2 linked regions of the Canis lupus familiaris genome follow. The protein of the gene in region 1 purifies or fractionates together with the protein of each later gene. This does not show direct contact. Links are inferred from orthologs where the notes say so. Each region holds a gene or a part of one and is shown on either strand. Other genes may lie near its edges.

Region 1 (15,713 bases):
GGCGACCTCTCCTGGTCCTGCCCCTTACCTTCCTATATGTGACCGTCATCTCAGCCAATGCCCTGGTCATCCACACAGTGGTGGCCCAGCGGAGCCTGCATCAGCCCATGTACATGCTCATCGCCCTGCTCCTGGCTGTCAACATTTGTGCTGCCACTGCCGTGATGCCCAAAATGCTGGAGGGCTTTGTGCATTATGCTAACCCCATATCACTGCACAGCTGCCTAGCCCAGATGTTCTTTATCTACTTCACTCTTCTTCTGGACTACAATCTCCTGCTGGCCATGGCCCTAGACCGCTATGTCGCCATCTGTCACCCACTCCGCTATACTGACCTAATGACCTCTCACCTGCTTGGTGTGCTGGCCATTCTTGCCCTGACACAGAGCCTGGGAGTGGCAGTGCCTTTGGTAGTGCTAACATCACAAGCTCGATTCTGCCGGACAATGGTGATTCCACACTTCACCTGTGAGTACATTGCACTGCTGAGCATAGCTTGTGGAGACTTGACTTTCAACAATAGGTTGGGACTGGCCATGCGGTTGGTCACTGTGACCTTTGATCTCGCCCTGCTAGGGACCTCCTACACCCGCATCATTTATGCTGCCTTTCGGATCTCTTCTGGGGGAGCCCGAGCTAAGGCCTTGCACACATGTGGCTCCCACTTACTAGTCATCCTCACTATCTACCTCTCTGGTCTCTCCACTTCCATTGTTTTCCGGGTAGCCAAGACTGTGTCTCAGGATGTCCAGAACCTGCTCAGTGCCATCTACTTGCTGCTCCCAGGCACCTTGAATCCTGTCATTTATGGGGTGAGGACCAGGGAGATCCGGCAACATGTGGAAAAGATGCTCTTTAGCAAGATATCAGCCCAGGAAGTTGGGGAGAAGCCAGAGAGAATGCAAAATATGAGGGGAAATTGCCAGGGTGAGAGGACTTTATCAACTTGAGAAGTTGGGGCTATGACCTCTGAGAATAAGAAGCAGGCATTACTGAGGGACAGGCTGAAATGATGAGATTATGGGCTCAACAGCAGGTCCACTGTTGGCCAATTACTGCTTTTTAAATTTTTAGAGTGCTAGTTTAATTTCCATTCCAATAATAAAATTTATTTTTTTAAGATTTTATTTATTTGAGAGAGAGAGAGAAAGAGAGCATGAGCACAAAGGCAGAGGGAGAGAAAGAAGCAGATCTCCCAGCTGAGCAGGGAGTCCAACATGGGGCTCGATCTGAGGGCCCTGAAATCATGACTGGAGCTGAAGGCAGATGCTTAACCAACTGAGCAACCCAGGTGCCCCTATCTTTCTTAACTTTTGATAGATTTTTTTACATTTTTATTTTAAAGAAGTGGGGGAAGAGAAAGCACAGGGGGATGGGTAGAGGGAGAGAATCGCAAACAGATTACACACTGAGCCCAATGTGGAGCTCAATTATATTGAGATCTGAGATCATGACCTGGGCTGAAATCAAGAGTCAGAAGCTTAACCAACTGAGCCACCCAAGCGCCTCATTACCTATTTATCTTTCTCCTTAGTTTCGTTCTCCCCTTCCCCCTAAGAAAGCCCCATTAATATCTGGATGTATAGAACCCCACTGGAAGTCAAAGCAAATCATACAGACCATGAACCACTCTGAACATCCAGTCTGGAACAAACAAGCCAGGCCCTTCCCTGGGGCCCAGTCTCTCCCAAATACAGCCCAAGCCCAGTCTAACCAAATATACAGGTCAGCCTTGCAGTTTATAGTCTAACCCAAGCACATGGGTTGGCTTCCAGAACCAAATTCGTCCCAAACACGGGTGAGGCCCCAGCCCTGATATCCCCAATCTGACACAGGCACACAGGTCAGGCCAACCCCAAGTATCCAACTAGCCTACAGAAACAGTTCAGGTGCTGGCTAGGGCCAGTCTGACACTCAGACCAGGTCTTCTGGGACCCAGTCTGATCCAAAGACCAAACTAGATCAATATGGTACCAAACCCATAGGTTAGGCCACTCTTCTTATGATAGCCAGTGTGAGCTATCTAAAAGTTACTTCCTATTTAAGACTTCCACAACTCTGTCAATAGAATAGAATATCCTTCTGGAACTTCCCAAAAAAGGGCTATCAAGTTTGATAGCCTATGATGCCTGCATACTAAGCAGAACCATGTGTAAACCAGCAGCCCTAGTTTTCTCTTCTTCTGTTTACTGATCATAGGAAGCTCCCCATGAAGCCACAGGTGCAGGCTGGGAGAGGTTTAGTGGGAGTGAGGACCATGGGCATTTGGGGCCACTTCAATAACTTACTTGTACTTCCAGGGCTTCTTGTATATACCACTTCAGTGTGTGTATCATTTGATGATGGAATACTGCTGTGCATGCCTAACTTTATGGCTTGGTGAGTCAAATAGCACCCAGTTCATGATGGGCAGATCAGGTTGCATAGTGGCCCATGGTTAAGCATTCAGTCTCTATGAAGGCTGAGCAGCAAGCCAAAAGATATTTCTCAAAAAGTGTGTAGTTATCAACAGAGGATGGCAGGGCTTTGCTCAAAATCCTAAGAGCCCAGGGCACCTAGGTGGCTCCATGGTTGAGCATCTGCCTTTAGCTCAAGTCATGATCCCGGAGTCCTGGGATAGAGTCCCACATCACGCTCACCACAGGGAGCCTGCTTCTCCCTCTGCCTGAGTCTCTGCCTGTCTCTGTGTCTCTCATGAATCAATAAATAAAATCTTAAAAAAAAAAAAATCCTAAGAGGCTGCAGAGGCTCCAAATAGCATCCCTTATCGCAACTGCCACTTCAGCCCCCTAGACATGCTAGATCGTATAGCCCAAGTGGCAGAGCAGCTTGCATGGCAGCCTAGGCCTGTTCCAGTCTTCTCTGTTTCTGGTCCCACTCAAAACTAATAGCTTTTCGGGTCATTTGGTTAAGCCAGAGTAGCACACCCAAATGAGGAACATGTTGCCATGCTGCCTCCAAAATCCAAAGAGGCCCACTAGGCATTGTGCCTATCTTTTGGTTTTAAGAGGAGCCAGATGCAACAATTTATCTTCCACCAAAGAAGGAATATCTCAACATGTCTTATACCATTGGACTCCTAGAAATTTCACTGAGATAGAAGGCCCCTGAATTTTTGTCAGATTTATTGTCCACTTTCTGACACACAATTATTTTACCAGTAAGTCTAGAGTAGTTGTTACTTCTTAGGTCCAATCAGCAGTAGGCCCAATCAACATGTCATCAATGTACTGGAGCGATGTGATATACTGTGGAAAAGGTGATCAAGTGGATAGAACTGGAGGGTATTATGCTGAGTGAAATAAGTCAATCGGAGAAGGACAAACATTATATGGTCTCATTCATTTGGGGAATATAAAAAATAGTGAAAAGGAATAAAGGGGAAAGGAGAGAAAATGAGTGGGAAATATCAGAGAGGGAGACAGAACATGAGAGACTCCTAACTCTGGGAAACGAACAAGGGGTAGTGGAAAGAGAGGTGGGCGGGGGGTTGGGGTGACTGGGTGACAGGCACTGAGGGGGGCACTTGATGGGATGAGCACTGGATGTTATTCTATATGTTGACAAATTGAACACCAACAACAACAAAAATAAAAATAAAAGAGTAAACTTCCAAAAAAAAAAAAAAAAAAAAAAAAGAGCCAAAGGAAAACATGGACAAACAAATAAAGGGAATCAGAAAAACAATGTATTAAAATCAGAATATTTATAGATATTCTGATAGGAACTGTTCAAGGGAAACAAACAGGAATTTTAGAGCTGAAAATGACGAGATAAAAACTTCACTAAAGGGGCTCAAAAGATGTGAGCATGAAGAAGAATCAATGACCATGATTATAGGACAGTTGGAATTACTGAGTCTAAGGAACAGAAAAAGAATCAAGAAAAGTGAATGAACTCTAAGAGACTGTGGGAAACAAGCAGTGGAACAAAAGGTACATTATGGAAGTCCCAGAACGAAAAGAAAGAGAAAGGGGCAAAAAGATTATCTGAAGAAATAATGGCTAAAAACGTCCCAAATTTAATGAAAGGTGTGAAGCTACTGATCCAAGTAGTCCAACGATCAAGGTGGATAAACTCAGGGATCCACACCAAGATACATAAAAATCAAACTGTCAAAAGCCATTAGTTGGCTATTATAAAAAATACAAAAAACTAGCAAGTGTTGGCAAAGATGTGGAGTAACTGGAACTCCCATGCACAACTGGTAGGAATGCCAAATGGTGCAGCTCCAATAGAAAAGTCTGGCAGTTCCTCAAAAAGTTAAACATAGAATTATATAGTCCCACAATTCCACTTCTAGGTACAAACCCCTCAAAATTGAAAACAGTAATCCAAATAGATACTTATGCATCAATGTTCATAGCAGCAGTATTCACAATCACCAAAAGGTGGGAATAACCCCAATGTCCATTAACAAATGAATGGGTAGACAAATGTGACATACAGTGGAATATTACTCAGCCTTTAAGAGGAATTAAATTCTGCTATATGCTACATGAACCATGAAAACATGCTTTGTGAAGAAAGCCAGACACAAAAGGTCACATATTATAGTATCCCATTTATATGAGATACCTAGAATAAGTAACTTCAAAGACAAAGTAAAACAGAGGTTACCAGGGATTAAGAGAAGGAGATGAGGAATTACTGCTTTAGTTTATGTTTGGGATGATAAAAAATTTCTGGAAATAGGTAGTAGTGGTATAGTTGTATATTATATATGTACTCAGTGGCACTAAATTGTATGCTTTTTAAAGTGGGTAAAACAGTAACATTTATGTTAAGTATATTTTACCACAATAAAAAGAGGAAATAGGCATATGTTAAGATCAGAATTCAACACAGAATCTAAGTAATTTTTTTTTAAATTTCTTCCCTGAACTCTCAAAGAACAGAAATTTTTTTTTCCAAATTTGACCTTTGTATGAAAATAAATGACAAATTTGGTCTCACACAATCACTTAGAAATGTTTATTTCAGAATGACCTATAGGACCTTATCCAGAGAAAGGTCCTATCAGCACTTCTCACAGGTTAGGACTCAGTTTTGCGTCTATGGACTCACCAGTCAAAGCAGCAAAACCATGTCTCCTTATGAAAACTGAGGTCACCAGAAAAGGGGTGCCAGGTGGGCAATGAAACCCTACTCAATCATTCCTTATTTGCAAGGTGACTTGTTTTGCACTCCTAAAACTTCTACTTTGATTCCCAAAATACCAATTTTTAAAATCAATACTTTCACACTATATAGAAACAGTACTTTAAATTGACTGATCCTTTTGCTGCAATGAGATCCAGCAAAGCCTTAGCACTTCAAACAAACCTACAATGCCTATCTATGCTCAAGAAGTAGTTTGTCTGTGAAGAAGTGCTGGTCTCTTCTAAGCCTTTCCTCAGGACCCACACATCAGACACTCCTCTCTATTCTCCAAAGAGCACACCATGGCTGCTGTGTTCCTTTCCTTCTCTTCTTCTTCTTTTGTTGCCTTCTCCTTATCTTTCAGCTTCTCCTTATTTAGAGTGAACTGGATTGGATTTGCTGCTGGTCGTGTCCTTAAGTAATACATCCCAGTCTTCAAACCCTACAAGGAAGCAAATACAACTATCAGAAATTGTAAGAATACAAAACAAAAAAAATTGTAAGAACACTAGACATTCAAGACCAATGTTTAAAATACATTTCCATAAACCACGTCAGAATGTTTTCTAAACTTGAAATTCCAACTCCTCTAGGAAGCCTTCTCAAAAATGCTTAAAGGAAGAGTCAAACAGTATTCCAAAGGCAAGGAAAACAAAGGCAAAAATGAACTATTGAGACTTCATCAAGATAAAAAGCTTTTGCACAGCAAAGAAAACAGTCAACAAAACCAAAAGACAACTAATAGAATGAAAGAAGATATTTGTAAATGTCTTCTCAGATAAAAGGCTATATTATATACCACTTCACACTGGTCAAAATGGCTAAAATTAACAAATCAGGAAACAACAGATTTTAGCAAGGATGAGGAGAAAGAGGAGCCTTCTTATACTTTTGGTGGGAATGCCAGCTTGTGCAGTCACTCTGGAAATAGTATGGAAGTTACTCAAAAAGTTGAAAAGAGCTACCCTACAACCCAGCAATTGCACTACTAGGTATTTTCCCTAAAGATACAAATGGAGTGATCTGAAGGGGCACCTGCACGGCAATGTTTATAGCAGCAATGTCCACAATAGCCAAATTATGAAAAAGCCCATATGTCCATCAACAGATGAATGGATACACACACACACACACACACACACACACACACACACACTGGAATAGTACTCAGCCATCAAAAAAATATGAAATCCTGCCATTTGCAACAACATGGATGGAACTAGAGTGCATTATGCTAAGTGAAATAAATTAATCAGAGAAAGACAATTATATGACCTGACTCATATATGTGGAATTTAAGAAACAGCACAGAGGATCATAGAAGAAAGGAGGGAAAAATATAACAAGATGAAATCAGAAAAGGAAACAAACCATAAGAGACTCTTCATCACAGGAAACAAACTGAGGTTTGCCAGAGAGGAGGCGGGTGAGAGGATAGGGTTACTAGATGATGGAGGGCATATGATGTAATGAGTGCTGGGTATTATATAAGAGTGATGAATCACTGATCTTTATCTCTGAAATTAATAGTATACTATATGTTAATTAATTGAATTTAAACTTTTTTAAAAGTCCACTCTTCCTTAAAAAAGAAAAAAAAAAGAGACAGTATATTACATTCCTTTTATCCCTAAAAAAGCTTACCTCTTTGGAAATGTCAAATATTTTTGTTCTCTAGGTTTTGTATTATGTGTATGACTTCCAAGTTTGCCTATGACAACATGTCTGCTTTTTAACTATTTAGGGAGCTAGACTGCGTCTCTATAAAGAACAGATGATGACTATTTCAAGGATAAAGATCATCATATCTTCTATTTGGTATCCTCAGTCTTAGTACACAGGATGTATTCAATAAATGTCTCTTAAATTAAAAAAATATATATACATCTATATAAATACCCAGCAGACTGCCAGGTAAAAAAGGATAGAATACAGGATTATAGGACTTTACAGCTGGCAATGCCAAGGTAGGTAACTGGCATTTATACTGTAGATAGTTAAAGTGGGGAAACAATGGATGTTTTTGAATAGTGGGTTGATAGGCATAAAGTTTTACTTTAGAAATGATAGCAGTGCACAAGACAGCCTGGAGCAGATACCAGAAACAGGGAGATCAGTTAAGAAATTAAGAATAATGGCAATGGAACAGGAAGAAAGATATTCAAGAAATAGTAGAAAGGAACAACCACCACAACTTAGTGAGTAATTGTATGGAGAATAAGGGGAGAAGTGTAGGTAACTCCAAGGTTTCAAACCTAAGAATGAAATAATCCCAAAAGAAACAAGGATATCCAAAGTGAGCCCCTGATCTGGTACAAAAACCATGATTTGGTTTTAACATACTGGATTTGAAGTGGAAGAACTGCTAGATGGCAATATTAAGTAGCTAGAATACAAAATTGTATTTGGAATTTGTATTGTTCCAATTCCAAAATATCCCAAGCAGGCAACAAGTCCTCCTTGATTTCCTCTACCAACCTGCTTCCAGCCATAGAAGTGCATACTGGTGAGTTTGCCATAGTTAGGCTCAGCAATGTGGATGTTCAAAGACTGGCTTTGATCAATGAAAGCGCCTCTTTCAGCTGCCATCTTAAGAACGATTTTCTGGGAAATTTCCCACACAGTCTTATAAAGTTGCTTCAGGTCATCAGGGATTTCTGGAATGCTCTGAAGAAGGAAAACCAAATGTTTATCACAGTCTGGCTGAAGAAATCAGTATAATTAACATAATTAACGACACAAGGGTCTGGCCTTAATTCTTCCTGCCAGATCTGACCATACCATTCAGTATCATATAATATGATCCTTATCAAGTTTCCCAAGACTGCTCACCTCTGCCTTGGAATGACCAACAAAACCTCATTTAACCAACAAAGTATCTGGCTGGTGGTAATGATTTAAGATCCATTTCTATTTGGATTATAGTCAAAACATTCATTGTTTTAGAGGTACTTAATAAAAGATGGAGCTAAGCAGCAACAAATGATCCTTGAGTTTTAAAGAAAACACAAGTAATCAGGACTGTAACTCACAAGTAGAAAATCAATGGAAGCAATGAAACGAACCTGTTTCGGAGTCAATAGAAATAATGTTTTCTTAGGTCTAGGGTTAATATGCCATCAAAACATACAAACTAGCTAATGCTACAATTTCTGTCAGCAAATATAGAAATGTTAGAGAAATCCTTCTCTGTTTTGCCAAGGAAACAAATGTTTAGACAGAGGGCTCCATCTACATATAAATACTTCTTGATTCTCTGCTGCAAATATTCTATTGTTAAACAATATCTGTGGCTCTGTTTTTCGGACTTTGAGTCTTCAGTCTCCACTTTTGCTTTTTAATTAAGTTTAACTTTCTAATTTCACACTTTATATCAGTGGTCCCCCAAACTTTGATGCATTTTGGAATGACCTAGGGCATCTTTAAAAAATAGTAATGCCTGGCTCCCATTTCCAGACATTCTAATTTACTTGTTTGGGAGTACAACCTAAGCTTCAAAATTTTTAAAGCTCCCACTGATTCTAAAGTACAGAGAAGTTGGAAACTACGCTTTATATTATTGCACAAACAAGACAGTAAAAGCCTAGCTATGTGAAGATGTATATAATCCTAGCACAACAATGCAAAGGTGAACATAGCCTAAATGACCACAGTGAATAACCTTTCTCTCTACTGCATGGGATAAGTGAGAAGGTACCAATGTAGCTTCTAAAGAACACACATGATTTTCATTCTGTACCTGGATAGAACCATTGCATGCAATAATCTGATTTTTCATCTCTTCATTCCACAAGCCCCGCTCAGTAAGATCCTTTAGTAAGTGAGGATTCACAATCTGAATAAAAAACCAAGATGTCAAGGAATAAATAAGAATGACAGGGCCTAAATAGGATCACAGGCTTGGAGCTTAAAGTAAATAAGATCACTGAAGAAGTATTTAACATTAGATTAGTCGGTAAATTCTCTATCTTGTAAGACTGAGAGGCCCATCCTACCAATCAAAAGTTATATTCCTTTAAAATCTTGATCTGTAATTCAAGAAACATAATATTTGCAAAAGTAAAAAGAACTAGCATTGCCTAAAATGGGTAAATCTATGGGGATTAATTCCCCCTCCCCCAAGTAAGGATACAATAAATAGTTAAGAAAAATTAGTAATGTATCCACTCCAAACTTAAAGAAATTTATTTCAGATCTGGAAATTCACAAATAAAAATCTTTTAAATTAGTAGTTCTTAACCCTAGTTGCACATTAGAATTATCTGGGAACATTAAAAAACACTGGTCCTATCCACCAGAAATTCTAATTTGTAAACAAGGCTGAAAACAATTGTCATGGTTCCATATACTTTTTGCTTCTATATACATCTTGAGTTATTATCGACTTAAACATCTGAAGTTACAGTGCATATAATTATGATTACATAATGGTTAAATATGTGAACTCTAATATCAAGAAGTTACTTTTCTACCCAACCTTCAATCATTTATTCTTTTCACAGATATTTATTGAATGTCTATTATCAAATAACACAGAATAATATTGGAGATGAAGATGACTCACTGTATCAAAGCTTTGCACCCATACTAAGCAAAAGAGACATACCAAACATGAGTTGGCATTTACTCCTAACATCACGCTTTTGCAAGATCTCCTGTAGGTCCAGTCGTAATCTTCTCACCTGAAATTCTCCTGATAAGACTCTTCGAGTATAGATGTTGCTGGTATAAGGTTCAATGGACTCATTATTTCCCAGAATCTGAGCAGTTGAAGCAGTAGGCATTGGGGCAATAAGTAAACTGTTTCTTACACCATACCTAAAGAAAAGGAGATTATTAGGTGTTGGTACTAAAGCTATAATCTGCCAGGAAGGTAGCTAGTTAAGTCACTGGGGTAAATGCAGATGCTGTGAGTGACATAATACATGCATTAGACTCACATAATGACTTGAATTTAACCGCTATAGAGACGCAACTTCACAGTATGGATGATATAGCTCACCCCTCTCCTAAACTCCTAAACAAAATTAGCACAATTTTACTGCTGGCGATTCTTATCACACTATGACTTATTAGCACTTGATACACTAGCTTCCCCAAGGAAATAACCAAATGGCTGTTGAAGAGTCCTAATCAGGGTACATTCATTCAATCCTCATTGTTTTCTAAGTGCTCATTTGATCACTGTGCTAAGCCCTTTCAGGAAACATAATGATGTGAAAGTGGTCAGAATCGGACATGTCACCAAAATTCTCCAAAGGGAAAAATTATGCTCAAAGTATATTCCTGACTTCTATTACTTCTTCAATCATAAGTTCCTAGAGAGGAAGGTTAACATCTTTTGACTCTACTCACTGACAAAGAACGTGCTTAGGGAAGAATATACTATCTGAACACTGAGAAATCTTCAAACTGCTCTTAGCTCATCCTTCAAAGCTCAGCCTAAGAGATGACCACTCTAGGAACATCTTCCTGACCAGGTAGACAATATTAAAAATAAGTACTAGTTATAAATATTTCTCCTGCAAACATTTTCTATGACCTGTACCTTTATATATATACTTTACCTATACTTCATGTCTTACCCTTACTTAGTCTTAAGTTTCTCAAACATAGAGTTTATCTTTCTTATATTCTATACCTCTGGATTTATACAGTACTTAGCTTAAAGCTTCATATCCTAATGGAATCTATACAACTGAGATCTTAATCTCACTTTCTCACTTTCTAGTTTTGAGGCATCAAGCAAACGATCAACTCACTTCATGTCTTTCTTCCTCAGTAAAATGGACAGTGATTTCCTGTCCAAAGAAAGGAAAATGTTTTGAAAAGTCATCTATACAGGACATACCAAACTATGGAATGCTCTGTAACCATTAAAAGCATTAGGTAGATCTGCATGTACTAGGAAGAAAAGATGGCCAAAATAAATCACTAAAAGTCTTAGAATATGTCAAGTTTGATCACAGTTTTAAAACAAAACTGTGCATCTCTAAATGTACTGAAAAAGGTCTAGAAAATGTTTATTTCTAGGAAAAGGAATAAGTTGGCTTATGTTTTGTAGAACAAGTAGTTGGCACAAGAGGATTAAAAAGAACTTTCACCTTCTGTTTTATTTCCATATTTGAACTTTGTTATTCATGTATTAATTGTGAAATGCTAAAAAGTTATGTATAGAAAAATATCTATACAGTATTTGGAAAAAAAAATAAAATACAGGTCTTTTTGTAAAAGTTGAATTTGTATGTAAATATACACATTCAGAAGAAATTCTGAAAAATGAAAGACAAAGATATAAACAGGTTTTTAGGAGGAGGTCGTACTGGGATAATTTTCATTTTTCTCCCTTTCACACATACATTTTCCTAGTTTAAAACATTTTTTTCCTAGTAATAAAACAATTTAAAGGCAAATAAACAAATTTAAGACAAAAAGCAACTGCTTCCTCCTGTACACATCACTTTGGATATGCATTAACCCAGAGAGGATAGGCTCATGAAGAAAGTAAAAACAATTTGTTTTATTATTCACTAAGCAAAACATTTTCCCACCTTTAAACCTTTTATGTTTATTAATTTGAAAAGCCTTAACAACCTCAAGATTTACATTTTTCTACCACACAATTTAATACATTAAACTCCAAAAGCTCTTCCAAAATCCTTAACTTACTCCTAGGACAATCAATTCAGCAAAAGTCATTTAGGAGCCCAGTAGAGTTAAGCAACAAATAAAAGTGAAAAACATATAAAAAGCAAGCACACTTGGAAATATGAAAGTTTAATGAGAAAAAGAATTGCTTCATCCAGGTAGTTAAACCCCTAAAACATAACCAGCTAACAATAGTACCTACCATTTATGAGGGTGGGCGGATGGGGGAACTAGGAGGGCACTTGATGATGAGCACTGGGTGTTACACTGTTTGTTGGCAAATTGAATTTAAATAAAATATTTTTTTAAAAATGCTTTCATTGTACCAAGCAATTTGTAGGTTACTGTTCATACATTTATCTTACAAAGTATTTTTACAGAAATAGTCCTGTAAGACGTGGTCTATGTATACAATGGAATATTACTCAGTCATTAGAAACAACAAATACCTACCATTTGCTTCGACATGGATGGAATTGGAGGGTATTATGCTGAGTGAAATAAGTCAATCAGAGAAGGACAAACATTATATGGTCTCATTCATTTGGGGAATATAAAAAATAGTGAAAGGGAATAAAGGGGAAAGGAGAAAAAATGAGTGGGAAATATCAGAAAGGGAGACAGAACATGAAAGACTCCTAACTCTGGGAAACGAACTAGGGGTGGTGGAAGGGGAGGTGGGTGGGGGGTGGGGGTGACTGGGTGGCGGGCACTGAGGGGGGCACTTGACGGGATGAGCACTGCATGTTATTCTATATGTTGGCAAATTGAACACCAATAAAAAATAAATTTATAAAAAAAATAGTTCTGTAGATAGGTCATTTTAGCCCCATTTGAAAGAGAAAAAATGAGTTTCAGAAGTTTAAATAACATGCCTAATTTCTGAAAGCCAGAATGAGAACCAACCCTCCTTACTTCAAAGCTACCTTACATCTCTTTGCTTACTTTGCAATCTTTTCCTTGAGAAGTTTCCAGTCCCATAGTTCTGTGGGAGTAACATTCCACATATCATACTGAAGGATCTAGAGAACAAACAATGCAAATTTATGATAAATCACTCTATAACAATTTGAAACCATAACAAAAACCAAATGACTATCTGCCATGCCCCACAACCCAACAAATGTCTTCTAGTAGAACTGTCCAAAGGTCCAAAGATTTCCCTGGACAAACTTTCATGCAGTCATATTGATCAAAAGCAGGCTAAGAAAACTGGTAAAGCCTTAGCTTTTCCCCAAATCCCTGCTGTGAGCCCTCAGAAGATCCGTATTATATCTACAAATCAGGAAATCCCAATATTCATGTAAGTATGTTGTTGAGATGCATTCTCTTTTTGTACAGTAAAAATTCCATCTTTCTTAGTTGCCTTGATTGATTTATTTAGTTATTAAATACCTGTTTTCAAACTACTAGTTATCAGATTTCCTAAATATCAGCAGGAACACCAGGACTAAAAATAACATAATATTTTATTTTACACTGAAGAGACTCATACTACCAATAATGAAGGCAGTGTGGGAAGCAGATTCTAAGACAGTTTCCAAGTTTTGACTCCCTGGTGCCAGGACATGTACAATGTCCTCCTGAGTGTGGACAAGAACTGGGAATGTGGTGGATGTCACTCACATAATTATGGCAAAGGTGAAAAGTTTATGCAAGTGTAATTAACGTTACTTATCAATTAATTTTGATTAAAGAAAAGAAAGATTATCCTGGGTAGACCTCACATATCAGATGAAAACCCTCAGAAGAGCAATTGGGCTGGGGCCTTCCTGAAATGAGAGATTCTCCCTCCTACTGGCTTTGAAGAAGCACAATGTCATGGGTTCTACAAGTACAAATGAATTCTGTCAACAACCAGATGAGCTTCAAAAAGGACTCTGATCTCAAGAGGAGACCATAGTCCTATCAACAGCTTTAGTATAACCTTGTGAGACCCTAAGAAAACCCAGCTAGGCAAGCTTGCATCCTTGACTCAAGGGAATAGAGATAATGTATGTTGTTTTAATCTAACTAAATTTAGCAAAAGAAAACTAATACAGTTAGTATTCTTCTTAAGTCACTTTTACCAATGACTAGTTCTAAATAAAACATTAAAATAAAGGAGTGTCTGGCTGGCTCAGTGGGTGAAGCATGCAACTCTTGATCTCAGAGTTGTAAGTTCAAGCTCCATGTTAGGTGTAGAGATTACTTAAAAATATAATCTTGGGGCAACTGGGTGGCTCAGTCAGTTAAGCATCTGCCTTTGGCTCAGGTCATGATCCTGGGGTCCTGGAATCGAGCCCCACATGGGGCTCTCTGCTCAGAAGGGAGTTTGCTTCTCCCTCTCTCTCTGGCTCTTCCCTCAGCTTGTTCTCTCTTTCTCTCTCAAATAAATAAATAAATCTAAAAATAAATAATACAATAAAATAAAATCTTAAAAAAAAACATTAAAATAGAGTATCCTTTTTACTCTAGAGAGCAAAAGTACCATATTAGTTTCTTATGGCTGGTATAACAAATCACCATAAATTTGGCAGCTTAAAATAACTAAAATTTATTCTCTCATAGTTCTGGAAGCCAGAAGCCCAAAATGAACATGTTGGCAGGGCCACACTCCCTCCACAGGCTCTAGAGGAGATTCTGTTCTTTGGCTCTTTCAGTTCTAGTGGCTACTGGCATTCTTGGGTTCTAGATGCATTACTCCCACCTCTGCCTCCATGGTCATGTTGCCTCCTCCTCTTCTGTCTCTCACAAGGACTACTGTCACTGGATTTATGGCCCACTGGGGTAATCCAGGATAATCTCACTTCAAAATCCTTAATTACATCTGCAAAGACCCTTTTTAAATCCAAAAAAGTAACATTCATAGGTTCCAGAGATTAGGATGCGAATATCTTTTTGAAGACTACCATTCAGCCAACTATAGGAACTCACAGGCAAAAAGAAATTTCATCCATATACTTACTCCTCTGCTGACTGGAGAACCTTCATAGGTTTCATATGGCCCATGCTCCTTGGCCAGGTCACAGCTGGCCTCCAAGGCTCCATAATAAATGGTTTCAAAGATTTGCTTATTCAGTAGCTGGGCTTCTGGACTCTCAAAAGGATACCTCATCAGAATAAAAGCATCTGCCAGACCTTGTACCCCAATTCCAATGGGGCGATGGCGTTTATTTGATAAGCATGCCTTTGTGCCAGGAGATTTAAAGAAGGAGACATTATTGAACAGGAGAGGCAACAATCTATACCAAATAATAACATGTTCTCTTTTTATCTGTTTTCTCACATCATTCCAATGATAGCCATTTAAATGATGACTGGCAGACCATTATAAACTCCCTCCAACTTAATTTCAATAATTACCAAGAAGCAAAGACCTCTATTCATACCTCTGGGACAGGGTAATAGTTAATATCAATAATTTTATTCAAGTTTCGGACAATGACTTTGGTGACTTCAGCCAGCTTCTTAAAATCGTATGTGTGTTCTGATGTAACATACATATTCAGGGCCAGGGAAGCCAAGTTACAGACTGCAACCTGGAATGCAATGAAAATGGGTCAAGAATCACACAATTTTTATTTCTTCCCCCTGTGTCAATGACATCATGTAAGCCTCTAACACTATAAAATTTTTATCTTTATCTTCAACCTCTTCATAATTCATTTCTAAATCCCAGTACCTATTCACATGTGAGTTGTAACATGGACCAGTGAAATAGATAAGACAGAGAATCTGTGTTCCATAGTCCAGACATACCTCCCATCGTGCTATAATTTCTTACGTGTATCTGTCTGTCAGTAGATGTGTGCTGTCCAATACAGTAGCCACTAGTCATATATAGTTATTTAAAAAAAATTAAAAATTCAGTTTCTCAGTTGCACTAGTCATGTGCTCAGTAACTACCAGATACATTTCCATCACTGTAAAAAGGTCTTCCA
Region 2 (16,743 bases), on another chromosome or scaffold:
AACATCTAATATGAGATGCAAGAGTTTTTGTCTGATTTATTCAGTTATTCTCCAGATGCTGAGCACTTTGTCTTTACTTCTTGCTGTGATCATCCAGTTGTTGGACATCTCAAGGACACCTTCAACTCTTCTTTATTCCATTCTCCAAAATCCAAATTTTTTAGCAAGAATGATTAATTCTACTTCTGAATCTGAATCTCTCTCTCTCTCTTTTTTTTTTTCTGAATATCTCTTAAAGCAGCTTTCTTTTGTGTTTCTACATCTGGTACCCTGGTTCAGGCAAGATTTGGGTAGGATAATGATCTTTTCATTGTTCTCTCCCCCTGTAATTTCTAATCTGACCACATTTCTAGATAAGTGATTTTTTAAAAAAGATTTATTTACTTATTTGACAGAGAGAGTGGTGGGGAGGGGGAGAGACTGAAGGAGAAAATCTTTAAGCAGACTCCCCGCTGAGCAACAACAGAGCTCGAGGCGAGGCTTGATCCCATGACCCTGAGATCATGACTCAAACTGAAACCAAGAGTCAGATGCTTAACTGACTGAGCCACCTAGATGCCCCTTAGTTCACTTCTGAAAAACACATACAAATGGTTACAGGGTTTATTGTTGTTTTCTTTTCTTTTTAACTACCTTTCTCTAAATCTTATGCAGTCTTCAATTAAGCAGAGATGGCTAGAAAAACTTTTATCTGAGGTCATCCAGAAAAAAAAGAAAGAAAGAAAAAAAAAAGAAGAAGAAAGATGGCAGCCTGGAAACACAAGGATTGGTGGCTTTCTGTGTATTTTGGAATATATCTGTTATTTTTTTTACCACTATTTTAACAGCTTAACACATTTCATAGTGAGATCTTAATCTAGCATTTGTGACATTAGAGGGACTGCAGAGTTCTTCAGAACACATTTGGATAGTCTCTAATTGCTTTCTTCTTCCATTGTCCCCCACATATGGTAAAGTCCAAACTTAGAAAGTTACTTCCAATTCTTTAAAACTATCATATGACATCATGTCTTTTTTTCCACGTTGTTTTCTCTTCTAAAATATGAGTTGTTAGCTCAGGTCCATAGAGGATATTCTAGAGATCCTAGAGCTTTGGGATGTGTGGTCCTCCTGACATTGATTAAAATGTGTGTGGATTTTTAAAGACATCATGAAAATAAGCAATATATCATCTTTAGCTCAATTCAGACTCTTGCATAATGCTCTGCTAATCCAACTTCTTAACAACGTACATATTATCAGAACGGAACAGGAGGAATGTTACATAGAAAAATGACTTTCATTCTAACTAAAAGATGCTAGTCTTCAGCAGTTTTCATAGATAGTGACATTGATAAGTTATTTAATCAGCATTTAAAAACTCCCTTCAGGGCCAGGGTGCTTGGTACCAAAGAGTTACTGCGTATGATGGTTCACATAGCAAATACAGTGAAGGTAAGGAGTTCCAGCTCTGAATGTACCCCAGGGACAAAATATATAAAGGAAACACAAACAAAAAACTTGACAGCTTCTATTTTAAAAATTTGCTCAAATATTTGGGGAAATGAATGTCAACTACATGCCAGGTCATATGTCAGGTTCTAGGGGTTCCACAAAAGTAAAGTTACCTTTTACTCTCAAGAAGCATAGTTTGGAGGGGACTCTAAATGGATAACAAGGAATTAAATTGCAGTGAGTTGTGTACTATGTAAGGTATGCAGTGAGTTATGTGTTTAATCCAGGCCTTTAGGGTGATGGGGACAAGGGAGATATGGGAGTACTTAGCAAAGGCTTGATTTGATTGATGGTTATCTCACTGATGTATTGTGGTCATATGTTAAATTCAAAAGGTATCCAGTAGCCCAAGCACAGGATAAAGAGAAATTAGCCGCCCATTCACTTACTTAGCTAACGTTTATTGATGTTATGTCTGGGAATGCCATAATAAATAAAAAGTAGTTTCTACTCTCCAGGGCTCAAGTTCTTTATCTGGGGAGGCCTACACCTTCAAATAAGTAGTTACAAAATAAGACAGTCTCTCTACTATGATGACAGTATGTGTGCAGTGTGCAAGCCCTACCTGGATCTGTATAGCCTCAGGCTTTGATTTTGATTTTGAGTCTTTTTCTCATCTTGCCTTGCCTTAGCACACTTGCTCTGGAGAGGTGTGGTTGGTGGAAGCAATGATAAGGATGAAGAAATGTGATTGGCCTGACACTGGAGAGAGACACCGTCAGTTTGAGTTAGGCGTCCAGATTTTAAATATATGCCAATTTTTAGCCTAATTGTATATACTTTGTGTATACATTTATTTATACATTTTTAGCCTAATTGTATATACTTTGTGTATATTCATTCTTATGCAAGGTATAACTCTTCTGATAGTTCTGATATATGTATATGTATACATACATATCTGGCCCTGTCCCCTTTTGGAATGCTATCATTTCCAAGTCATGTATATATAAGTATGTGCTTCTCACTGGATTCTACAAAGCTTTGAGCCAGTCCACAGTGAGACCATCTGTAGTAATGCTAACAAGTAAATAGTAATAGCAGATTGGTATATGGGAAAGTTCAGATGAACAAAGGTTGCTAAATTGTTGGTAAGGAGTTTTCAGGTAAGTTTTACAATAGTTCAGATTAGAAAGAATTAAAATAGGAAAGTAGGGGTGCCTGGGTGGCTCAGTCGGTTAAGCATCTGCAAGGCAGATGGGCTTAAGTCATGATCCCAGGGGTCCTGGGGTCAGGCACCCTGCTCAGTGGGAAGTCTGCGTCTCCCTCTCCCTCTCATCCTTCCCCCTGCTGGTGCTATCTTAAATTAATAAATTTAAAAATCTCTTAAAAATAAATAAAGAAGTTTATAATAGTAGCCTATTCATACCAGCATCTGATCTCTGAAAAAAGGCACTGAAGGGACATTTTATACACAAACTTAGAAATTTGCCCACCATAACATTTATGGATTTAGTTTTGTGCTTATCTTAAAATAGCAATAATGACAATTTTGCTGCATGCATATTATGCACCAGGCTCCATTTAAAGCACTTTTAATCATCAAGTTTAACCTACAGAGTAAGGGTCATTTTACTGATAAGGGTAAACCAAAGCTCAGAGAAGCAACTTTCTGTGGTTACACGACTAACCAAACACTATTAACCAGGTTCCAGATAATAGTAAAGGATTCAACCCAGGCAGATGGGCTCCTCAACCTGTGCTGTCTCTCAAATTACCCCCAGTATGTGTTTAGATATGAATAACAAGGGCATGTCTACACAAAATGGATGTTTGTACTTTATTTTCAAAGAGGTTATCTTCAGATACCAATGAAAATGAAGTGAAATCAGATGAAGAGCCACTCCTACGAAAGAGTTCTCGCCGATTTGTCATCTTTCCAATTCAATACCCTGATATTTGGAAAATGTATAAACAGGCACAGGCATCTTTCTGGACTGCAGAAGAGGTAAGTGTTATCACCTTTGCCAGCAGGTACACCCCATAGTAGAGTGTTCATATCTTGTGTCATGTGACATTGAAAAATGTTAACTTATATTGTAAGATACATATAACTGAATAAAATCAGTTATATACAATAGTATCTGAAATTACTGAAATTAAATACAGTGTTCTCCAATGTTTTATGTGTAGACTGCTGTCTATAAACACGTCTCCCGCTGCAAAAATGGCTTCTCGGTCTGCCAGGTTTTTACTTCCAATGTATTTTAGAACATTTTCTATTTTTAAATAGCCTTTTGATTTCCTATGACCAAATAAGATTAGTTTTTACTTATGGCCAGCAGAATAAATAAAATTGTGCTATGGCCAAAAAATGAGAGTGAAAGCCCTAGGGACCCTGCTTTTCAATGACTTACCTGATTATGCAGAAAGAGCTGTGGCAGAGAATTTGCCTGCTCAGGCAGTGCACTCTCTTCTAAGCTGCCAGCCAGAGCTCCTCCTAGGCTACCCTGTCCTCAGTCACATCCAGTCTGGCACTGCTGCCTCAGCAGCCGGGACTGTTGTAGTATGCTGTATGTTAGGTCAGCATTTTCCATCTAGACAATGATTTGAACACAATAAATGAGGAAATACCTGCTGGTTTGGTAAAGACAGTTGGTCATGTAAGTGGTTGCTCTGTAGTCTAATTGAACACATAGTCATTGTCTTCATCTTTCTCTGTGTGTATGTGTTCACTTATCTAGATAAATAGATAAATGAATAGATCTATTTAGATAGTTATATTTGGATCTCCCTATTTTTCAGAAGATTGTTTTCATACATGTAAGCACACACTGTTGAGAATGCAGACTCTGGAGCCAGAATGCCTAGGTACAAAATCTGACTCTACCACTTACTAGCTATGAAACTGGAAAAATTGCTTAACCTCTCTGTGTATCCTCATTGGAAAATTGAGCTAATAATACCTGGCTAACTGGGTTATTATAAGGATTACTGAGATGAATCTCATGAATAGAATTAATGAGATGAAGTTCATGAATGAGAATAATGAGATGTTTAGATTGTCACATGGCATTTAGTAAGCACTAAATAAATATAAGCTATTTCACACAGAATGAGGGAGAGTTACAGTAGAAATCAGAAGACACCAACTTTTGAAGCTTTGATTACACTAATTTTACCCATTTATCCACTTGTGTTATATTGGTAACATCTTTGTTATACTTAGTTAACAAAAAGAGCAAAAAATCCAAAACAAAGTAAAAACTCAGTATTTTCTAATTGGGTCATACTGCTTGACACACCTGACTATTTTTAACTGTGGTTTTTAGGATGTGTTTTTTTAGATATGGTTAACAGAATAAATGGAGTACACAGGTGGCTTTTTCATTCATCATGTTAAAAAGCTACTTGTGATACTTGGGCTTCTTAAAATTCATTTGTAAAGTACTTGCATCTTTTAGCAAATGTAATACATGTTGTATTATAACTAAAAAACACTGATTTAAAAAATTAAAATACAAAGGTGGTACATATTTTGTTTATACATTTTATTTTATTATTTTATTTTATTTTTTAAAAAGATTTTATTTATTTATCCATGAGAGACAGACAGAGAAAGAGAGAGAGAGAGAGAGAGAGCCTGACGTGGAACTTGATCCCAGGACTCTGGGATCACGCCCTGAGCCGAGGGCAGATGCTCAACCTCTGAGCTACCTAGGCATCCCTGTTTACACATTTTAAAAGGAAATGAAACACATATAGTTCCATGTATTTTTCCTTTAAACAAATTATGTCAACCTTAGACTTCATTGTTTTATCTGTGGTGTAGCTTTATTCCTAAATATGACCAATTATCAGAAACCTTGATTCAGAAGAAAAAGGTCTAGGATTTTGGGTTTTTCTTTTAAAGCTGCCAGACAATTCTAATAACTAGTAGTTTAGAATCAATATTTAGAAAGTAGAATTGAGAATTTATTTAGAGGAGAAAAAGCTGAGTAGGAATGTTTACATTTTAAGAATGGGAGATGACCAATGTAATATAAATGAAATTTATAAGGCTTTTTGAAGTGAATGGTTGACAAGGTAAGTTTAATATTTAAGAATGAGTATATTATAGTATAAAATTTCATATCAGAAGTATAATATATAAAAACTAGGAAGGTGTCTGTCAGTTAATCCTGATTGAGCTCTTAAGAGAATAGGACCTGATATTTAGTTTACATGTTTTAAAAGATATATACAAGTATACCCCCCAACTCCATTGTATTGCCAACACTTTTTTTTTTTTTTTAAGATTGATTGATTTATTCAAGAGAGCAGAGTTGGGGAGGGACAGAGGGAGAGGGAGCAGGAGAGGGAGAATCTCAAGCAGACCTTCCACTGAGCATGGAGCTTGATGTGGGGTTCGATCTTATCACCCTGAGATTATGACCAGAGCTGAAGTCAGATGCCCAACTGACTTGACCACCCAGAACCCCCCCCCCCCATTTTCAAAAATATTTCTATTTCCAGAGAAAGCCATACCTGTAAATTGCTTTATAATAGGTTGTTACATGCCAGATACTACTTTCTGGGTATAAAAGTAGATTAGCTGGCAATACAATAGCAGCTACTATTGCTTAACAGGTAGCTAATTTAACACTACAGTAAATTATATGCCATGGTAAAGCAATGGCTGCTGAAAGTCACTAGTTTATTCTGCCTCAATTAGCCAGAATATAGAGCCCTTCATAATACTTTTATTGTATTGTGTTCTTTTGTAATAGTCTTAGTCAATTTGGGTTGCTATAGTAATACCTTAGACTGGATGGTTTACATACAACAGAATTTTATTTCTCACATTTCTAGAGGCTGGGAATTCCAAGATCAAGTCTCTAACAGGTTGGGTATCTGGTGAGGTCCCAGTTCCTGGTTCAGAGATATCTGCTTATACTTTGCGTTCTCACATGGCAGAAGGGATGAGGAAGCTCTCTGACAGCTCTTTTATAAGAGCACTAATCCCATTCATGAGGGCTCCACCCTCATGACCTAATAACTTTCCAAAGACTGCACCTCCAAATACCATCACACTGGGCATTAGTTTCAAATATGTGAATGGGGTGTGGGGGCGGGGGAGGACATGAACATTCAGTCTATAAGAGTTATGTTAACTTTTTTTTCCTTTTCTTCCTTTTTCATTTCATTACTGCTAATGAGATGGCCATCCCCAACGTTGAGATAGAAGTTAGTTTTCCAAACACTTTAAGAAGAATTAAACACCAAGTTGAAATTTTTGAAAATCTTTTTTTTTCAGGTTGACTTATCAAAGGATCTCCCTCACTGGAACAAGCTTAAATCAGATGAGAAGTATTTTATCTCTCACATATTAGCCTTTTTTGCAGCCAGTGATGGAATCGTGAATGAAAATTTGGTAAGATTTTTGTTTTATTTCTGTTCTCATTCAGCAGCTAAATGGTGATAATGGCAGTAAGACAAGTAGACTAAGCCTGAAAAACGACTTCTAAGAAATGAACTAGATAGAGTTTAACTTTCAAAGGTGTTTTTCTGATGAAGTGTCAAAGAAAAGGATAGATTTCTCCCATTTGACCACCAAAATATCATGAAATCAAACATATTGTACCAATCAAAACTACTTAAAATGCGTAGACATGATTTCAATTTTTACCCTTAGGTAGTAATCTTAATAGAGAGCTTGCACATTAAAAACCCTTCTGGAGCTCTGTAATAAGGCACTGTACTCTGGCTCCCCATTTTTAAACTTGTATCATGGTTGGCCAGGAGGCTTACCTTCTTGTTAAAGAGAATTAGATAGAAGGGGCTTCAATCGATCTGTCTGCTTTTGGGGAAAATAAAGACCTAAGGTCAATTTTACAATGCAAAGTAATTATTTTTGATAGCCATTCTAAAATACTTGGCTTTATAAGAAGTATCTCCACCTATCAGGTCAATTAATTTAATTGCTTGAGAATACATTAGGCAACTAATTTATTGTAAAAGGTTAATAGATAATATTGCTTAAAATAACCTATAAATTCTGTCTAACCTATTTTTGGCATGACAGGTAATTTTTAAGTGATGATTCTGATGTCCAGATTCTGATTTGCAGTGTTTAATTAGAGCCCACAGAATTGGATACGTTTCCCTTATTTTTGTAGGTGGAGCGCTTTAGTCAGGAGGTACAGGTTCCAGAGGCTCGCTGTTTCTATGGCTTTCAAATTCTCATCGAGAATGTCCACTCAGAGATGTACAGTTTGCTAATAGACACTTACATCAGAGATCCCAAGAAAAGGTATTACCACTGGGATTTTATTTACAGAGGCTTGTGCTATTGCTTATGTTAAGAGCAGAATTTACTCCAAAACCAAATGTCAGGGAAAAATTATTCAAATGCTTTTTATTGTTTAATAATGTGTTGGGTTAAAAAACTTGTATAGAACCAGTTCATCTTTGGGTATTATAGCTTTAAAAACTGCACATTCTTTTTAGAAATTGAATGCTGACTTTATTTCTTTAAATATTTTACTTAAATTCACCTTGCCAACATATAGTATAACACCCAGTGCTCATCCCATCAAGTGGCCTTCTGGGTGCCCATCACCCAGTTACCCCACCTCCCCCTTCACCTCCCCTTCTGCAACCCTTTGTTTCCCAGAGTTAGGAGTCTCTCATGGTTTGTCTTCTGCTCTCATGGTTTGTCTTCTGTCTTTTCCCCACTCATTTTCTCTCCTTTTCCTTATAATCCCTTCCATTATTTCTATATTCCACATATGAGTGAAACCACATATGAATATTGACTTTAGTCAATTTTGTGTCAGACCAGATCCAAACCGCTAATTTGAATTTTAGTTTCATTTCTTAACTTTGTGGGCATGCAAAATATAGAAAAACGACAGATCTGGTAGCATATCATAGAGTTGCAATTATTATTGATGATTAAACTAATGAAAATTTATTCCAATTAAGAAAAATGAATAACTTTGCCATTAATCCTTTGGTTTTTACAGGGAATTTTTATTTAATGCAATTGAAACAATGCCATATGTTAAGAAAAAAGCAGATTGGGCCTTACGATGGATAGAAGATAGAAAATCTACTTTTGGTAAGTAGCTGTAATTTAAAAATGATCAAACTTGCCTCAGTTGACATAACACTTTTTATGTGGTGTGACTATCAGGTACTAATCAGAGTCCCAGAATAGAAAAGGATACGAAGGTCTCTGCATCCACTTTTTAGAATCATTATTCCTAATGCTTAGGAACCAGTGATAAAATCATATAAAGTTGTTATCTATTTTGTTTAATAAGTTGAAAGTTGAAAGGTTAAGGTATTAGTACATAAGTAGAGGTAAAGAGAAGTCATATAGAATCTGACAAAAATATTTAGCAATCATAATTTGTCTCTGCTTTCATAAATATTTAAGAGAGTTAAAGCGAGTCAAAATCATATTTTTTTCAGGGAACAAATATGTAGTTACTGGAAAACTATACATATTACTTGCTCAATAAATATTTAATTTAAAATATTCAGATACTCCATTTATCTAGCTCTAAGTACCTCTCATTCTTATCTATTTCATAATTAGTCATCTTTACTTTCTGGTTTTATTCACTATGGAGGAAGCAAGTCTCAAAATTTTTGGTTTCAGGACTTCTTTGTACTCTTAAAACTTATTGAGGACTCTCCTGTTGGTGTGGTTTACTGGTTATTTCCATATTATAAATTAAAACCAGGAAAGTTAAAATATTTATGAATGCATTTAAAAATAGCAGTAATAACCCATTATATTTTATTATTAATAGCATGTATTTATGAAAAAACACTATTTCCCTCCTCCCCCAAATTTTGCAAACCTTTTAAATGTCTGACTTAATAGAAGACAACTGGATTGAATCTCCTTCAACATTCAATTGTTGCAGAATATTGACGTAGTTTATCGTATAGTTATGAAGAAAATCCAGTCTTAATCAGATGTGTAGTTAGAAAAGGGAAGACTATTTTACCAGGCTCCTCAGATTATTGTGGATATGTCATGTAGTATCTGGAAATCACAATGTACACTCATGTGAGAATTGTGGTTAAAAAAATAATAATGCCTTAGCATTGTTATAAAAATAGTTTTGACTCCACACACCTCCTCAGTCTGTGGATTTACAGAAACACACTGAGAACCAATGATGCACAGTAAGGTATGGGGGAAGCCTGTTATATATTAGGGAAGAAACAGATGTGTTTACAATGCCTTCAGTTCATTTGAAGAATGAGAAAAGTGATCATTCTCAATGTGCATAAAAATTATCTGAGAGTTTGAAGAAAAACCCTGCAGAATCCTGGTCCTCACCAGAGAGATTTAGAAGGCCTGGGGAGGACTGAGGAATCAACATTTTATACCCAGCTGATTTTCTCACAAATGGTTTGAGAAACACTGGCTGGCTTTAAAGACAAAAGGAGAGAAACATCAAGGTGTTCAATACATATTGAAAAGAGTATAGATAGATACCAATGGAAAATGATGAACAGGCTCACAGCAGGCATGTATTTCAATAACTGCCAAAGAAAGTAACCTAGAGGCATGCCTGGGTGGCTCAGGGGTTGAGCATCTCCCTTCAGCTCAGGGCATGATCCCAGAATCGGGGTTCAAGTCCCACATCTGGCTCCCTGTGAGGAGCCTGCTTCTCCCTCTGCCTGTGTCTCTGCCTCTCTTTGTGTCTCTCTCTCATGAATAAATAAATAAATCTTAAAAAAAAAAAAGAGAAAGCAACCTAGAGAGAAAATTGAAGAGGATGGCAGTCACCATGTGACAACAGCAGAGCTCTAGGTAAATTCTCCATATTGCTTGCTCTCAAGCAAACCCATGCTGCAGATGCAGAAAAAACATTGAACAGAATTCAATATCCATTTATCATAAAAACCCAAGAAAGCAGATATGGAGGAAAAAATACCTCAGCATGATAGAGGACATGTACGACAAACTCACAGCTAACATACTCAACTGTGAAGAGCTGAAAGCCTTTCCTCAAGATCAGGAGCAAGACAAGGATGCCCACTCTTGCCATTTTTATTCAACATAGTATTAGAAGTCCTAGCTGGAGCAATTAGGCAAGAAAAAAAAAAAAAGGCATCCAAATAGGAAAGGAATAAGTAAAACTCACTATTTGCAGATGACATGCTATATATAGAAAATCCTAAAGACTCCATTAAAAAAAACTATTAGAACTAATAAACAGGTTCAGTGAAGTTGCAAGATACAAAATTAGTATACAGAAATATCTTGTTTCTATATGATAATAATGAGCTATCAGAGAAATTAAACAATCCCATTTACAGTTGCATCAACAAGAATAAAATATTTAGGAATAAGTTTAACCAAGGAGATGAAAGACCTGTATATTGAAAACTCTAAGATATTAGTAAAAGAAATTAAAGACACAAATAAATGGAAAGATATTCCATGCTCACAGATTGAAAGAATCAATATTGCTAAAATAAAATGTCCATTATACCAAAAACAATCTACAGATTAAATGCAATCCCTATCAAAATTCCAATGGTATTTTTCAAGAAAATAGAACAAATAATACTAAAATTTATATGGAACCACAAAAAAATCCCAAATAGGCAAACATCTTGAGAAAGAATAAAGCTGGAGGCATAATGCTCCCTGATTTCAAACTATCTTACAAAGATATTATAATCAAACCATTATTGTATTGGTATAAAAAACAGATCAATGGAACAGAATAGACAGCCCATAAGTAAACCCATGCATATATGTTCAATTAATTTATGACAAAGGAGCCAACAATATACAATGGGGAAAACACAGTCCTCTCAATAAATAGTATTGAGAAAAATGGACAACTGCAAGCAAAAGAATGAGACTGAATTGCTATCTTACACCACACACAAAAATTAACTCAAAACAGATTAAAGATTTGAATGTATGGCCCCAAACCATAAAACTTCTGGGTATTTATCTGAAGAAAATTAAAACATGAACTCAAAAAGATATATGCACCCCCATGTTCATTGCAGCATTATTTATAATAGCCGAGATAAGGAAACAACCTGAGTGCCCATCAATGGATGAATGGGTAAAGAAAATGTAGTGGGGGATATAATAATGGCATATTATTTAGTCATAAAAAAAAGTGAAATCTCACCATTTGCAACAACATGGATGGAGCTAGAGGGTATCATGCTAAGTGCCATAAGTCAGACAGGGAAAGACAAATACTATATGATCTCTCTTATATGTGAAAACTAAGAACAAAAAAACTAAAAACTAAAATCTAAGCTCATAGATACAATAGATCGGTGATTGTAAGAAGTGGAGCATAGGGGTTAGGAGAAATGAGTGAAAGCAGTCAAAAGGTTAAAAGAAAAAGGTCTGTATAGCTTACTTGGACAAATGTCAGCGATCAGAAAAACAAATAGGCTAATGTGTAAACTTTTGGGACAAAAAAAGAATAAACATTTCCCATTACAGTTGACTCTTGAACAACGTGGGTTTGATTTATGTGGGTCCACTTATATGCAGATTTTGTCGATAAATATAGTACAGTACTGTAAATGTATTTTCTCTTTTTTCTTATGATTTTCTTTTTTTAAAACAAAATTCTGCATTTTTATAAAACTTGATTAAAAATAGTATTTCAAACTGTACAGTCACCAGAAGTACACAGTTATCAAAAATGCACACACTTTACTTGGCATCTCCAGCACCTTCAGCTTTCTGTGCCTGATCTGTTTTGGCATCTCCATTTTCTGCAGGGTTATTTCCATCCTTGCCAGAATCAGCCTTCCCCTTTTAGCTTTGGGTACTTTCTCTCCCTTCTTTACAGGGGCCTTTTTAGGCTTGGGCTCTGGCTTTGGAGGAGCAAGTTTAGCAGATAACCTTGCAGATCTTCTCTGCGGCTCATCCTTCACCTTGGCTTTATCTCCTTTAGCATCCCCTTCAGCCTTTCTCTTGGGCATGGTGGCGACGGCGGCGGGACGTAAGCGCTGGACGCGGGGATGCAGCGGCACACAGGCTTTGGCCGGTCCTGGGGTCGTTCTCGCCTCTTCTTCACACTGCTTGGGCTCCGGGGGATTTATAAAGTTTTTATCTCTTATGATTTTCTTAATAAAAATTTCTGTAGCTTTATTGTGAGAATACAGTATATAATGCATATAAACAAAAAAAAATAGGTGTTGGCTGTTATATCTATAAGGATTCCAGTCAACAGCAGGCTATTATAGCTAAGTTTTGGGGGAGTCAAAAATTATATATGGATTTATAACTACACAAGGACTTAGCACTCTTAACTCCTTGTTGTTCAGGGGTCAACTGTACATGCAAAAAAAAAAAAAGCTAGAATTTCACATATTTTGTACAAGACCCTGAGAACAAATAATTGAGAGTATCATTTTAAAGAATAGGCTTTGTGGGGAGCTGGGTGGCTCAGTCTGTTAAGCATCAGACTGTTGGTTTTGACTCAGGTCATGATCTCAAGGTTGTGAGATTGAGCCCCACCTTAGGCTCTGTACTCAGTGGGGCATCTGCTGGAGACATAAATTTGTACATCACAAGAATCTTTCATTATGTAGGACCCACATAACAAAGAACTATACATTCTGAGTGAAATTATTGAAATGAAAAGTTAAAGGAAATATGGCAGAAATAAAGTTACCTCTTAAAAAAAAACTGTATCGTACTTTCTCATCTCTAAAATCATGAGGCCTTCACATTCATTAAAGCTTTTAGAAGAAATATTTTGGAAGTCTTTTAAATTTACATCTACTCCTGAAATTTGTAAAGTTTACCTCTCTTAATCCTTTAATTCTTTCCAAAAAGAATTGCCTTCTATAATGATTTTTGTCCTGATTTTCATTCTATAGCATTTACATGAATGCATAGAATAGTTAAAATAAAAATTTCCTCTTATTCACAATGTTTGTGTTATAGTCTAGTTCTCTCACATTTATGTGACAATGAAGAATGCATCAATTGTAACTATTATCTTACTAATAGCAAGATGAAAATACAATCTATATGTTAAAATAAGGAATCTTCATCTTAAAAAATATAGCTAGTCTAAAAAATATTTTTTAAAAAAGATTTTATTTATTTACTTGAGAAAGAGAGAGAGAGAGTACAAGTGGGGTGAAGGACAGAGGAAGAAGCAGACGCCCTGTCGAGTAGGGAGCCCGATGCGGGACTTGATCCTGTGACTACAGGGTCATGACCTGAGCCGAAGGCAGACACCCAACTGACTGCCACCCAGGTGCTCCTAAAGAGCTGTTTTTGTTTTTAAGACTCAGCAGACCATAGTGATTATTATTATATTTTGTATTTAGTACACTAAAGAGTCTTAATTCCTTCTACACAGTCAATACTCAGTAAGTACTTATTTAATTTACCTTTCTTCTGTTATTTTTTTCAAAATGACTTAAAATTGTATCTGTAAAAATGAAATGCTATAGAAGTTTTTCTGACCTTTTGGGCTTCTAATAGGCAAATATTTGATATAATCTGATTTGATTTATTTAAGATAATCAGAGAAAAGAATGAGGACAAACCAGAGCGCTATTTACAGACTGCCAGAAATATTTAAGTCATCTTTCTTTTTGAAGTTTAAATATTATAATTACCTTTGTTCTGAAAGTTTTGAGTATTCTGGATCAGATTTTAGCAGCTTTCATAGAATGAATAGTAATGTTTGTCATCTGGTGCCTAGATATTTTCCACTGATTCAGTTCAGAACACATTTATCAAGCACCCACTCTGTGTTTGGTGTGACAGTACTGGGATACAAGCTATGATGTTATTGATGAAACAGACCTGTCATTTAAGCACTCCATTGCCTTTATCCTCACAGTCTTATAAACCAAACCTTTCTCCCTAGACAGAAACATATATAAATACTTCTCCTGAGCATATGTAATGTGGTGACATTTGTTTGGGTTAGACTTATAATTAACCCCTAGAGACAGTATTACAGATATAGTTCCATTATAGACCTTTGAGGAGATGGACTTCTGCACAGTCCTTGCCTAACAGTGAGTAGTCTCTGAAATTGGGCCTGAAATTTAGCAGGAGATAGTATTTTTGCTTATGTGCTGGGTTATTTTATCCAATAGATATACTTATTATCTTAGCTGGACTTACATCTTTTTTTAAATTGTAGGTGCATGACAATGTTTTGTGAAATGTTTACTGCTAATCTGTCAGATATCTTAGGTTTATAAAAATAAAAACCTCAGCAACCTCCCCTCCCTTAACCATAAAGAAGGAGACATTTGTCCTAAAAACTTATCTTCTACTCTCTACCCAATACACGCACACACTTATATGCATGTACTATACTCATAGGCACGTGTGGTGCACAGATAAATCACCTCTTTCCTTTGAGTAGGGAAAGATCTCCTTTGTCCAGATACCAAGACCTATAGGAGTCCAATGTCTGACATAAAATTTGAAGTAGACATACCTACATACTTTTCTGCTGTAGTAGGTAGAGGTAGCATATTTCCTCCTCTGAAGACCCTTGGCCATGGCACTAATTTATTGATTTTGTTTCTTGGCAAAATAGTTGTGATATTGGTATAAATATATGTAAAAATATGTATTTTTTTATATGGAAGCTTGAAAATGTCTACGAGATGTGATATTTCAGAAAATAAAACTATTTTATGTCTCCCAGGGGAAAGAGTCGTGGCTTTTGCTGCTGTAGAAGGGATTTTCTTCTCTGGATCTTTTGCTGCTATATTCTGGCTAAAGAAAAGAGGTCTCATGCCTGGACTCACTTTTTCCAATGAACTCATCAGCAGAGATGAAGTAAGGAATGAAATACTCTTCTAGTGATATTTGTATTCATATTTGGTGTTCATTTATTTTTCTTTCTGCAAAATGCTGATGATGGCCCACAAATATCCTGGCAATTATAAGAAAATAGGAAGTAATTTCTTCCTTGGTTTTTAGGACATTGTATTTTTCCCCTGCCTCTTACTGTTCCTCCTGTCTCCCCTGCTCATCCTTATATATCATTAAATCCCAGGTCCCCACCTTGGCCTCTGTCCTTCACTCTACATGACCACCTGGCTGATCTTACCTGTTTCCATGGGATCAGCTACCATTTAGATGCTCGTAAACAACCCAGACTTGAGCACAGATATTCTTTCCTGAGCTCCAAATCCTTGTGTTCAAGTGCATGTTAGTTTCTCCTGGAAGGCTCCACAGAAATCTCAAACGTGTTATTTCAGAAATCAAACTTACGATCTTTCTCCCCAGATTCATTCTTCTGTTTTCCCTGTCTCATTGAGTGATGCTACTTTCTATCCAATCCAAATTTGAAATCTGGGAGTCTTTTTAGATCACTTTTTTTTTTTCTTTCTCATCCATATCCAGCCAGAAACTAAATCTTGTCTCCCTTTGCCTGTGATACCCTTTCCATATTCCTGCCAATTTTTTCCTGTTGATTACCTTCTCACAAGTGGCAACTCAAAACTTCCCTGACTCAGTGGGGTAAAATGAACCACTCTTTCCTTTATGTATCCCTTTGAAACCAGAACCTGTCCTTTTCTTAGAGTCTGTAATGTGTGCTGCACTTCTTGCCTCTCTCTTCTGCTGGACTCTAGGCTCCCTGTGTGTGGACATCTTGTCTTATTTGTCTTCCTGTTCTCAGGGGTTAACCCATCACAGCCTTCAGTTCACATTGATTGCCTACACTAATCCTGGCCCCCCAGCTTATTTCTAAGTGACCTTGTCAAGTTATTAACTTCTCCGAGCCTCAGTTTCTTCAACTATACACCTCGATAGCGTTTTGTTAAAATAAAATGAACCCGTATGTATGAAAATGCTTTTTAATTGCCATAAAATGCTTTGTATAATTTTGTTGCTTCATGTTGTTCAATTTCTAATAATTTTTATCATAAATGTCATATGTGATGATTACAGGGAATTAAGAGAATAAAATTACTCAATCTTAACAGAGATAACCACTTTTAGTATTTCATTGTATTTCTTATTAGACAGTTTTTTACATTTAAACCTATATAGATATATGTGAACATCATGATTTTGTAATTTGAAATATTCTGCTTTTATCATATTTTTATGAGCTTAGATTTTTCTGTAGCAGACATTATGAGCATTTTTCTGTGAAATTAAGCATTTTGGGGGGAAGTAGTTTTTTTTTAAGTTTTATTAGGTACAACATTATAATGTTTCAAAGGTTTCTAGGTTTTTTATTTGCTATAATGCAAATGAATGTCTTTTGTCTATAAGCTTTATCCCAATTTCACATTATTTTCCTAAGCTAGATTGCC

Evidence for each region.
Region 2: the proteins of RRM1 (region 1) and RRM2B purify together in Homo sapiens (affinity purification with western blotting; 3 studies listed by BioGRID and IntAct, counting the BioPlex papers as one, with this or other methods). This does not show direct contact. The link is inferred for Canis lupus familiaris from reciprocal best matches to the Homo sapiens genes RRM1 and RRM2B.

The regions. Positions count from the first base shown.
Region 1 is NC_049242.1:26,739,068-26,754,780, reverse strand, and holds the end of RRM1 (ribonucleoside-diphosphate reductase large subunit), read right to left. Parts: intron 15,312-15,713; coding exon 15,162-15,311; intron 14,960-15,161; coding exon 14,738-14,959; intron 12,813-14,737; coding exon 12,736-12,812; intron 9,961-12,735; coding exon 9,825-9,960; intron 8,978-9,824; coding exon 8,882-8,977; intron 7,810-8,881; coding exon 7,621-7,809; intron 5,585-7,620; coding exon 5,396-5,584; 3' UTR 4,951-5,395; downstream 1-4,950. Other genes in the region: OR55B1 (olfactory receptor family 55 subfamily B member 1), read left to right, coding at 1-950. UniProt on the Homo sapiens protein: Provides the precursors necessary for DNA synthesis. Catalyzes the biosynthesis of deoxyribonucleotides from the corresponding ribonucleotides.
Region 2 is NC_049234.1:3,949,741-3,966,483, reverse strand, and holds part of RRM2B (ribonucleoside-diphosphate reductase subunit M2 B), read left to right. Parts: intron 1-3,286; coding exon 3,287-3,442; intron 3,443-6,730; coding exon 6,731-6,847; intron 6,848-7,592; coding exon 7,593-7,726; intron 7,727-8,441; coding exon 8,442-8,536; intron 8,537-15,119; coding exon 15,120-15,253; intron 15,254-16,743.